Linked DNA regions of Rattus norvegicus. The protein of the gene in region 3 binds, or shares a complex with, the protein of the main gene of each other region. Links are inferred from orthologs where the notes say so. Each region holds a gene or a part of one and is shown on either strand. Other genes may lie near its edges. The genes, in order: Iscu, Lyrm4 and Nfs1.

Region 1 (3,496 bases), on a different chromosome or scaffold from region 3:
TGCCTGGACAAGAAAGCCACCATCAGAAAACAGTTTGCTTTTGAAGTTCGCTGCATCTCCCAATGCCAAGACTGGAAAACTGGGCCCTTCCCTGAGCTACATAACTGGGCAGCTCAGGGGAGGAGCAGCTGCTACCAATGTTGGAGTCAGTGTGTGTATCTGGAACTGAGGGCTACGGCAGTGCATGTACTTGTTTCAGTTGAACGTGAGAAACACACACTCGCACCGGATGAGCTTCTCCAGTCAGCTTCAGTTCACTGTCCACCACACAAAGCCTGGGAGGCCTTGGGAGGTTAGAACCATTTGCCAGAAGAAGGCTGGAGGCCTGGGCCTAGAGTACAACGGTGTAATCTCCCAATGCTTTTCCTGATTGGTCCACAGGCTTAGGGGCCAGCTTCTGGGGTTACTTTCTGACTTTCACGGACCAATGGATTATTGCAGGAACGCTTGCTCAGAGTCCTTGTGAATTGACCATGCTTCCCAGCATAAAGAACACCAGCCGTCCCCTCCAGCCTTTCAAAAGAAGCTAAGTGGCTGTTGCTGTCACCCACTGCAGTCTGGCCTTGGGAACCCTGAGGCGCTTGGCTGCACTAGGGGTGGGTTAGGGAGTCGAGAATCAGGTTCAGTAGAGAAAACCATCGTCTTCCATTTTTTATTATAATATACACGCAGATCTGCTAAACACACAGTGATAGATCCTATCAGAGCCAGCACAAGGTGCTCTGCTGGCCGTCTCCCCGCAGCTTGGGTACAACTCCCTGTCACTCTCCAGAGCTTAAGACTTTGGTGCTGATTTCAGTCCCAGGTCACAAACTCAATCAAGACATCAACTGCACTAAGGACACACGTGAGCTGAAAGGAACACAGGATTAGGCGTAATCAACGGCACATTTTGCTTGTATCAGAGCCATAGTGCAAACAGTGAGTAGTGTGCGTTTTGCGTAGCTTCTCTGATGTGCAGGGTGGCAGGAGGCCTGCTGTGAGCGGCTGGAGCGTCCTCAGGGCTCACTGCTTCTCCGGCTCGTCCTTCTTGGCCTCTTGTTTCAGTTTGTAATCAGCCAGGGCAGCCTTGATGGCATCTTCTGCCAGCACTGGAAGGCACGGAAAGGTAGACAGCTTTAATTTCTAGACACTGGAGGGGTGGTCTCCACATTTTATAGTTATACACACATCATGGCATATTTGTGTGTTGTTATAAATATGTATCTATTTAGAATATATATGCATGCGCCTGTACATGTATGTGATGGGTGGATGTGCCTGGCACGTGTGGTGGTCACAGGACAACTTTGGGGGGTGGGTTTAGAAGTTCTAACTCAGGTTGGGTGGCCATCTCCCTGCTGGGAGGTGGTGAAGGAAGAGAAGCTTTGTAAGCTGGAGGGAACTAGAATCAGAAAGACCCAAGAGTGTGCGCCTGCTACACCGACTGGGACGGTCCTGCCTTCCTGGCTGGGACAGAGGGGGCACTGTGGACAGAGATCAGGTCCCAGGGAGTGTGGGCTGGCCGTCAAAGGTGATGGCTGAGCTCAGTCGTAAACCAAGAATGGCCGCTGGCAGTCTGTCTGTCTGTTCACCTCCTCCCACACCCACCCGTGAAGGTCAGTACTGAGGGTGAGGTTACAGGGTGGGGTGTGGGTGAGAAGCTGGAAGGTGGCAGAAAGCCTAGTATGTTAGGGTGATGTTGCGTTCCTGCTTTCTTGGGGAGGCTTAAGAGGACAGGAAGGTGTCAGATCTGACTGCAGGCTCTGAGGTGCAAGGCTTCTTGTGGGACAGTGCAGTGAGTGTACCACGGCCCCAGGCATTGCAGACAGACTGGGGAGGCACAGAGTGTGGGGTGGCGGGCACAGCGCACTCTGAGCAGACCCGAGCTGCCTGTTATGCGGGGCACTCACTGGAGCAATGCAGTTTCACAGGCGGGAGGCAGAGTTCCTTGGCGATGTCTGTGTTTTTGATGGTCAGGGCTTCCTCCACCTGAAATGTTAGGGAGGAAAGTGCAGTTTCAGTGAACTTGACCTTGCTGAGGGTGGGCAGAACACACCTCAGGACAGGCTGTCTGGGAAAACTCCTGCTAAGTAACTCAACACTGTTGGGCAGGACTGCCACTGTATACCAAGGGATCTGTAGTGGGGGGACACACACCTGCGCTGCCTGGCTGGGTAAGCAAGAACAAGACCTGCTGCCCCTTGAAGGCAGGCATTGCCTAGGCTGCTATGCAATGTCTGCCTGAGGAGGCCTGGGTCTGAGAGCTGTGAGGGATGAGAGGCAGAGAGGCCTGCTTATGCATTAAGAAAAGCCAGTCTCGGGGTTGGGGATTTAGCTCAGTGGTAGAGCGCTTGCCTAGCAAACGCAAGTAAGCTGGCAAGCTTTGTAAGCTGGAGGGAACTAGAATCAGAAAGACCCAAGAGTGTGCGCCTGCTACACCGACTGGGACGGTCCTGCCTTCCTGGCTGGGACAGAGGGGGCACTGTGGACAGAGATCAGGTCCCAGGGAGTGTGGGCTGGCCGTCAAAGGTGATGGCTGAGCTCAGTCGTAAACCAAGAATGGCCGCTGGCAGTCTGTCTGTCTGTTCACCTCCTCCCACACCCACCCGTGAAGGTCAGTACTGAGGGTTCGGTCCCCAGCTCCGAAAAAAAGAAAAAGGGAAAAAAAAAAAAAAAAAAAAAAAAAAAAGAAAAAAAAAAAAAGAAAAGCTAGTCTCCTTCAGACGGGAACCTCGAGGTTAGAGAAGGTCTTCCTACTGTCTGACCATACAGTTCAGAGCCCTGAAAGGCCAGGTCCTGGGAGCAGGTGCCCAATCTCACTTCCCCTTTCTCCAAAGCTGCTTCTTAACCAACTTCCTTTGAGCCATTTTCTCCCAGAACAAGCAGGTCTGGGTCTCCCTGGCCTCCAGGAGTTCAATAACCAGATGCCCGAATCTGGAGGAGCAGGTGGCTGTTAGAGAGCTGGCTGGCGTTTTGAGCACAGCAATCCATGACTGAGCTTCCTGAACTGGGCCCCAGGAGGGGGCAAAGGGTGAGCACACCACTTTAAGACAGGGTCCCATACAGTCTGGGGCGATCTTTAAATTGCTCCTTCCTGAGCTTCCAGGGACTAAGCCACTATCCAAAGACTATACATAGACTGACCCTGGACTCTGACCTCATAGGTAGCAATGAACAGCCTAGTAAGAGCACCAGTGGAAGGGGAAGCCCTTGGTCCTGCCAAGACTGAACCCCCAGTGAACGTGATTGTTGGGGGGAGGGTGGTAATGGGGAGGGGAAGCCCATATAGAAGGGAAGGGGGAGGGGTTAGGGGGATGTTGGCCTGGAAACCGGGAAGGGGAAAAACAATTGAAATGTAAATAAGAAATACTCAAGTTAATAAAGATAAAAAAAAAAAAAATTGCCCCTTCCTTCTATGAGCTGGGATTACAGGTTGGTGTGCCGTGTGCCACCACCTTGTGCTGGTGTGGGTAGTTTCACAGCTACTGGGTCTTTTTTTTTTTTCTTTAAATGC
Region 2 (3,651 bases), on a different chromosome or scaffold from region 3:
TTTGCTCTAAGGCCAGTTTATGGCAGCTTATAGCCAGTAGGCTCAGCAAGTACTCTACTATGGTAAGTGTGGCACTTGGATTTGAAGACTTGATGGGAGAGGACAAACAGGAATCAGCGGGTTGCTCAGGTATAACTCAGGTTGCTAAGTTTTCCAGTGCAGTGAGAGTACTGCCTTAGTCAGGCCTGTCTGACATGGAAACCTGTGGCTCTACTAAGTTACTATGGAAACCCTGGCCTAGAAAGGAGGCAGTGTGCATCCCTCATGAGGAAAGTGCGGTCACTGGGCTGTCCTGAGGCAGACACCTTGAGGCAGGTCCACTGCTCCTGATGTTCCGGCCTGTTCTCAGTGTATGTTCACTGGGAAGTTGGCAGAAGGCCACGGTCTGTCTGGTCTTTGTATTTTTTGGTTTGTTTTCTCTTTCTAGTTTTGGGGATAGACTTAAAGGGCCTTGTGCACAGTGCGCAACTGTCCTATCATGAAGCCATGACCTTAATCCTGGCTTATCTTTTGAGAGTAGTTTCAGCATTTCAAACCAAGAGGCTACTGTACAGGCATTCACAGATGACATGAGAGATGGTGGAGGAGATTACTTACAGGTTGTGTTTCTAATACAGTTTGTATTCTGATCATGCTTGTTGACCTCTACACAGAGAAACGTGCAGAAGAACCGATTTATTTTTCTGTGTTTATATAATGCACAGACCTAAGCTGCTTATTTTCCTAAGTTCTACTGCTAGAGGATTCCATGAAATGATCCACCCACTGGAGCCTGGAAAGTGCCATTGGCCTCAAGTTTTCCAAGTGACTCATGTACCTACAGCTCTCAAGTATATGCAAATGTGTGGATTGGCCTTTCCCTGGTGACCTTTTCCTGTCAGGCTTTTAGCTGATGATCATTTCCTAGGCATGTGAATGTGGCTGGCTGGATAGTCTCTCTCTAGATAACTGCAGAACTCAGAGGATTCTTCGTCTTGATGCTACTCTGGAAAAAAGAGTGCTCCACTATGTAAGCAATGGAAACAGACTGAATCTTGACATAAAATGCAAATTTCATTTTTAATACCATTTTCTTGTTTAGCTTCTATTTTGAGACAACTGTGAAAAGCAGCGGGGAAGACTGGATGTGGTGAGATGTTGGCAAGCAGGCATCTTCTTAGGGGGAACCAACAAAGCCCGCACCAGAACACAACAGAACTTTGGAAATGTTCACCCTCCACACTTCATAAACAAATTTGCTATAAGAGTGAAAACAGATGAATAAAGAAATGGAGCTATGCCAATTTGAAGAAAAGAGAAATGGGAAGTTCAGGGCAGAAATTCAATCAATAGAAAACTACATTAGTCTTTGACACTTCAATTATCCAGAAGTCAGACACTACAGTGTTGCACTAGCCAGGAGACCATGCTACATACAGGTGAGGCTCACCTTACAGAGGTCAGGAAAAACAAGCCGGAGTCAGGGTGATGTGGAATAAAATGAAAAACACCCCTCAGCTCCACTGTGGGCCAGCATGTAATCAGATATGCTCTGCACCCTGTGCCTAAAAACACACCAGTCACATGGTAACATACATGCTTATAACCCACTCTACTCATCTTATATTCTGATGACAAATGTTAGTAAAGGAAGGATATATTTATGCTTTGGTATATGCCACATAGCCATGTACAGAACATCATAAAAACACTTGGATTAAGACACACTGAAACCATGAACTTCAGTAAAGCCTGAGAGCTCAGTTTCTTAGAAGAACCAGGCCCCAGAAGTCCCAGAAAGCTTGTATTTTCCTGCAGAATGCCCTTGAATCTGGCGATAGGACAGTTTATCTCTGTATGTCTGCATTAGGAAAGAGGACAGTGCCTCGCCATCCTGCGGTGTAAATCACAAACACCAAAGCAGTGATGTCCGATCACAGAGGGAATGTCACAGCTGAAGACGAATAATGAAGAGCAGTCTGTCACTGAGCCATCTTACCTGTCTGCGGATTATTTCAAGGTCTCTTTTGGCTTTATTCACCAGGGCTTGAATTTCTACGGGGTCTTTTACATTCTTATTTTCTCGGAAGGCATCTCTTATTCTCCTGACAGCATACATTCTAATGAATTCAGAGAAAAAAGAAAAGATGTCAGCAAGTATGAGATTCTGCCTTTAAATGAATTTAAAAGATTTTTTTCTCTAGAATTAACGGCTGAATATTCTCCTACAGATAACCCAGTTTGATCTTTGCTTGTCGATTCGAGGATGGCTAAGCAAGCAGATCTAGGAAAACAAGGCACACACAAATGGCAAACTGCTCCTTAGATCACTGGCTCTTCAGAGTTCTGCACGTCTGATTTCCCTTCATTAGCAATTAGCAATTTCCCTTCATTAGCAAGGGTAATTAACCTTTGCTATGAAGAGGCAAACCACGAATGGAGACAAATGATGCACTTCATATGCACGCACGAGGACAGTGATGAGCCTTTTCATTCCTGCCCGTTAGATGACAACTGGGTAAGCAGGTCCACGGCATCTCTGGTGTACTTTTTTAGGACACACTGTCACCTTCATGGCACCAGGCATTTTAATTCTACTTTTTCTAGACAGGGTCTTGCCATCTAGGCCAGGGTGGTATATAGCTTGCAATCTTCCTGCCTTAGCCTGAGAAATACTGGGATTATAGGCATGAATTACCATTCTTTCCTTAATTATAATATATTCATATTCTCTCTCTCTCTCTCTCTCTCTCTCATTTCGTTTTTTTTTTCAAGAGCTCTGTGTAGCTCTGGTTATACTGGAACTCCCTGTGCAGACCAGGCTGGCCTTAAACTCAAGAGGTTTATCTACCTCTGCCTTCTGAATGCTGGCATTAAAGGTGAGTGCCATCACCACCTGGCTTAATTCTAATATTTTCATCTACTTGTAAACTGGTTTTATAACAAGATCTTGTGGCTGGAGCTCTAAACCAGGCAAAATGTGTGCCTGACTACTGAGCTCTGCCCATACCCTCAACCACTGCTTTAATTCTTCAACTGGGATTCAGCAAAGCTTTTGCAAGAACATCACAACCTAAGAAGTCATCAATACCCTGATTTTTTTTTTTTTTAAGTAACAGGTAAGTGGTTCAGAACACCTAAAAGGAGAAAGAACATTTCACAGGATGGAAATAAATGTAAAGTTCCCCAAAGTTTAAGAACACCAGAGAGTTTCTTAAAATGTTCTACAACTCAAACCAACTTAGCTCAACGTCACGTTCAGAATACTTGGCTCTACACTTTAAAACCTCAGCTTCCCAAAGCCTGCATCTCAGAAGTTTAGCATATATCTCAGAGTTAGATCCACGTCAGCTGGACAGCAGGCGCAGTAGGTAAGGGCGTTTGTTGCTTCAGCATGGCGATCTGAGCTCATTCCTGGAATCCACATAAAGTTGAAAGACAACCAGTTCCACTCTGTTGTCCTCTGCCCTCCATACATGAACTGTGGGATTTGTATGTTACCCTCCCCGAGACAAACATGGGCCCACACACATGCACACCCAAATACAAAGTCAGAAATCTCATTTCAATTTCTAGACATTCCTTTGACATGACAACACCACAGTGTCCTTCTATCCCCCACACCCCCTTTGGCACAGGGTACTACTGGCCTTAAGAGGAGACTCCACTGGC
Region 3 (3,072 bases):
GCTGTGGGCAAGGTCATCCCTGAGCTGAATGGGAAGCTCACTGGCATGGCCTTCCATGTTCCTAACCCCAATGTATCTCTTGTGGATTTGACATACCGCCTGGAGAAACCTGCCAAGTATGATGACATCAAGAAGGCAGTGAAGCAGGCATCCAAGAGCCCACTAAAGGGCATCCTGGGCTACTCCTGCAACTTCAACAGCAACTCCCACTCTTCCACCTTTGATGCTGGGGCTGGCGTTGCTCTCAATGACAACTCTATAAAGCTCATTTCCTGGTATGACAATGAATATGGCTATAGCAACAGGGTGATGGACCTCATGGCCTAATGGCCTCCAAGGAATAAGAAACCCTGGACCACCCACCCCAGCCCAGCAAGGACACTGGGAGCAAGAGAGAGGCCCTCAGTTGCTGAGGAGTCCCCGTCCCAACTCAGCCCCCAACACTGAGCATCTCCCTCACAATTCCATCCCGGACCCCATAATAACAGGAGAGGCCTAGGGAGCCCTCCCTTCTCTCTTGAATCCCATCAATAAAGTTCGCTGCACCCATCCCACCCCCAAAAAAAACTTACAGAATAAGAGGGGAAATGGAATTTATTTCTCCAATCTTCAAATCAACAAAGTTTAATGAACTAAGCAAATTATTAGAATAATGGGTGGAGTCATGGATATTTCTACATTAAATCAAAATACAGAAAAGAAGCTGAGACCCCAAAGGAAACGAGACTTTAATACAACTTGCTATTGATATAAAAGATGTCTTTTGAAGCCACAAAAAAGGTTAAAAGAAAGATTGTTTATGCCTGTCCCTAATGGCGCCAGTCCAGCTGAGCAGCAAGAGTGAAGATTCACAGAGAAGCAGTCTTTGAACCTAGAGCCTTCTTCTAGTTCCTTCATCTGCCCACGGGTAGGTAGTCCCCGTGGCAGTAACACAGCAGTGCCTACAGGTCCTCAGGTAAGAATGGCCACACTAGACAGCGGAGAAGAGCTCCTGAGGAGAATAGGGAACGTGTCTACAGAGGAGCTGAGGCTAGCAAAGATCCTCCCTTCAAGTTCTCACTTGAAAACATTCTGTGGTGAAGCCACTGAAGAACTTCCAATCTGACTTGAGCATGTAATGAGGTTCCTGGCTGTGCATGGGTCGGAGAGGCCAGAGCAGCCAGGCCAGCACGAAGTCACAGTCCACTCTTCTAATGCTGGGTCCACTTGATGCTCTTGAGGTCAATGCCATCCTGCACCATCTCCCAGAGAGGACTGCCAAAGAAAAGAAGCACTGAGTGAGTGAGATTTAGACAGAAAGCAGCAGATCACACTGCCTCTCAGGCCTGAAGAATCATTTGCCTCCTGTCCTTGTTGCTTCTCTGCCTTACCCTGGTACGGCAATATAAGAGAACCCCAATATAAGAGACAAACAAGTCTTTTCTAGTTTTTATAAGTCCTGCTCCATCCCAGGTTCTTCAGACCTTCCAAAATCAGAAAGACTATCTATTGCTTTAACCTGAAAGGATGTCATAGATCGCAGGCCTGAGCACCTGTCCCTCTTATACAAGAAATGCTACTGAGAAGATTGTGGGTAATGACCTTCAACCCAACCTACTTTGTGTGTTGTGGGAGTGATAGCTATGAGAAGTTTTTTTGTTGGCTTTTGCCACTGAAGATGAGACACAGAGCCTCACACACATAAGGCAGTGTCTTCTGCTGAACTGAGCCTGACAGCCAACTACTGAGCTTGGTGCTTTCATGTCCCCGGTCAGTTCTCAACCTTAAAGGACTCACACACAGTCTTCCTGCTGCATCCTGGGGGCCATAAAGTCAGGCATGTACATGATCTATGGTTTGAGGTTTTTGTCTCCTACGTAGGCACTCTACCACTGACCTTTACCTTAGCCTCCCATTGGTTTTTTGCAGGGCTGGGGATCAAACCTTTACTGTATAAGCAACCTGGTTTTGCAAACAGATTCTGAAGAACAAGAGGCCGAGGAGGTCTCCTTCCTTGCTCTGTGGAATCTTTACATCCTACAAACCCTTTTCCCTTGGGTTTCTGGCAGTATGAACAGAGTCTAATGATGAGAAAGGAATCAGCAGTATGGCGTCTCCCAGAGCCCAGGCAGGCGCACACCTCATTTCTCGAAGACGTTTCACATGGTGGATGCACTTCTGCACGGTGTAGTCTACCTCCTCCTCTGTAGTGAAGCGGCCGATGCCGAACCTGAGAGAACAGAGAAGGTCTCACACCTGGCTGCAGGTTTGCCTTTTGGTCGTGTTGACCAATACTCACTGAGGACTCACTAAGTAAAGACAAAGGGAGGGCTGGAGTTCCTGCTTAGCATGCATGAAGTCCCGGGCTCAATCCCTGACTGGACTGGTGGTGCTCCTCCAGTCCTCGGGAGGTAGAGGCAGAGTAAGCAAGGTCATTCTCTGGCTACAGAGTCAGTTGGAAGCCAACCAGGTGTATGAAAGCTACCAGAGCAAAAGAGGAAAATAGGAGATGGTAGGCCCACCTCTCTAGGTAAAGGTTTCTGAGAACACAGCTTGAGAATGAGAAGCCACTGACACGTTCCCTACATCTACTCGAGAGCTCATGGGCAGAGGATCTGAGCACAGGACTTAGACATCCTCATCTTCACCAAGATTCAAGAAGGGGCAGGGGCACAGCTCAGCACAAGTGTGCTTGCCTACCATGTACCATTCCCCCAAACTGCATAGACCAGCATAGTGAGCACGCTCCTGCAACCTCAGCAGTCTGGAGCAAAGGCAGGACAGAGTTTAAGACTAGCCTGTGAATTTCTGACAAGACCTTAACAAATCAGGAGCAAAGCCACACCCACTCACACCCCACCACATACACCCACCCCAACACAGTCAGTCACCCAAACACACCCACACACACACTCACACACAAATGCCCATATTCACACACACAGACATACAGAAAGTCATTTCCCATACTCATACACACACTCACAGTCATACACATAAACATCTACTCACACATACACAAAAACAAATGCACATCACACACATTCTCACACACATACTCATATACATACACTCACATACATACACCATGCA

Evidence for each region.
Region 1: the proteins of Nfs1 (region 3) and Iscu are in contact, whole or in part, in a crystal structure (PDB 6W1D), measured with the Homo sapiens proteins. The link is inferred for Rattus norvegicus from reciprocal best matches to the Homo sapiens genes NFS1 and ISCU. Residues at the interface, in NP_066923.3 of Homo sapiens: Tyr360, Val361, Glu362, Glu364, Ser365, Leu367, Met368, Ala369, Lys371, Glu399, Asp400, His403, Ser404, His429, Arg432, Leu433, Glu435, Met436, Ser437, Pro438, Leu439, Glu441, Met442, Trp454, Thr455; in NP_998760.1 of Homo sapiens: Tyr35, Val40, His42, Tyr43, Glu44, Val49, Gly50, Ser51, Leu63, Val64, Gly65, Ala66, Pro67, Ala68, Cys69, Gly70, Val72, Lys74, Phe90, Lys91, Thr92, Phe93, Gly94, Cys95, Gly96, Ile99, Lys135.
Region 2: the proteins of Nfs1 (region 3) and Lyrm4 are in contact, whole or in part, in a crystal structure (PDB 6W1D), measured with the Homo sapiens proteins. The link is inferred for Rattus norvegicus from reciprocal best matches to the Homo sapiens genes NFS1 and LYRM4. Residues at the interface, in NP_066923.3 of Homo sapiens: Leu56, Arg57, Pro58, Leu59, Pro68, Leu69, Pro71, Arg72, Leu74, Asp75, Leu78, Glu314, Tyr317, Arg321, Asp372, Arg412, Phe413, Thr414, Thr415, Glu417, Glu418, Tyr421; in NP_065141.3 of Homo sapiens: Phe23, Tyr26, Asn27, Tyr28, Thr30, Tyr31, Arg34, Arg35, Asp38, Val65, Arg68, Gln69, Ile72, Thr78, Asp79, Lys80, Leu81, Ile82, Ile83, Asn85.

Annotation. Positions count from the first base shown.
Region 1 is NC_086030.1:48,512,226-48,515,721, forward strand, and holds the end of Iscu (iron-sulfur cluster assembly enzyme ISCU), read right to left. Parts: intron 1,972-3,496; coding exon 1,893-1,971; intron 1,092-1,892; coding exon 1,006-1,091; 3' UTR 627-1,005; downstream 1-626.
Region 2 is NC_086035.1:28,968,876-28,972,526, reverse strand, and holds part of Lyrm4 (LYR motif-containing protein 4), read right to left. Parts: intron 2,100-3,651; coding exon 1,979-2,099; intron 1-1,978.
Region 3 is NC_086021.1:165,096,814-165,099,885, forward strand, and holds the end of Nfs1 (cysteine desulfurase), read right to left. Parts: intron 2,210-3,072; coding exon 2,120-2,209; intron 1,255-2,119; coding exon 1,191-1,254; 3' UTR 577-1,190; downstream 1-576.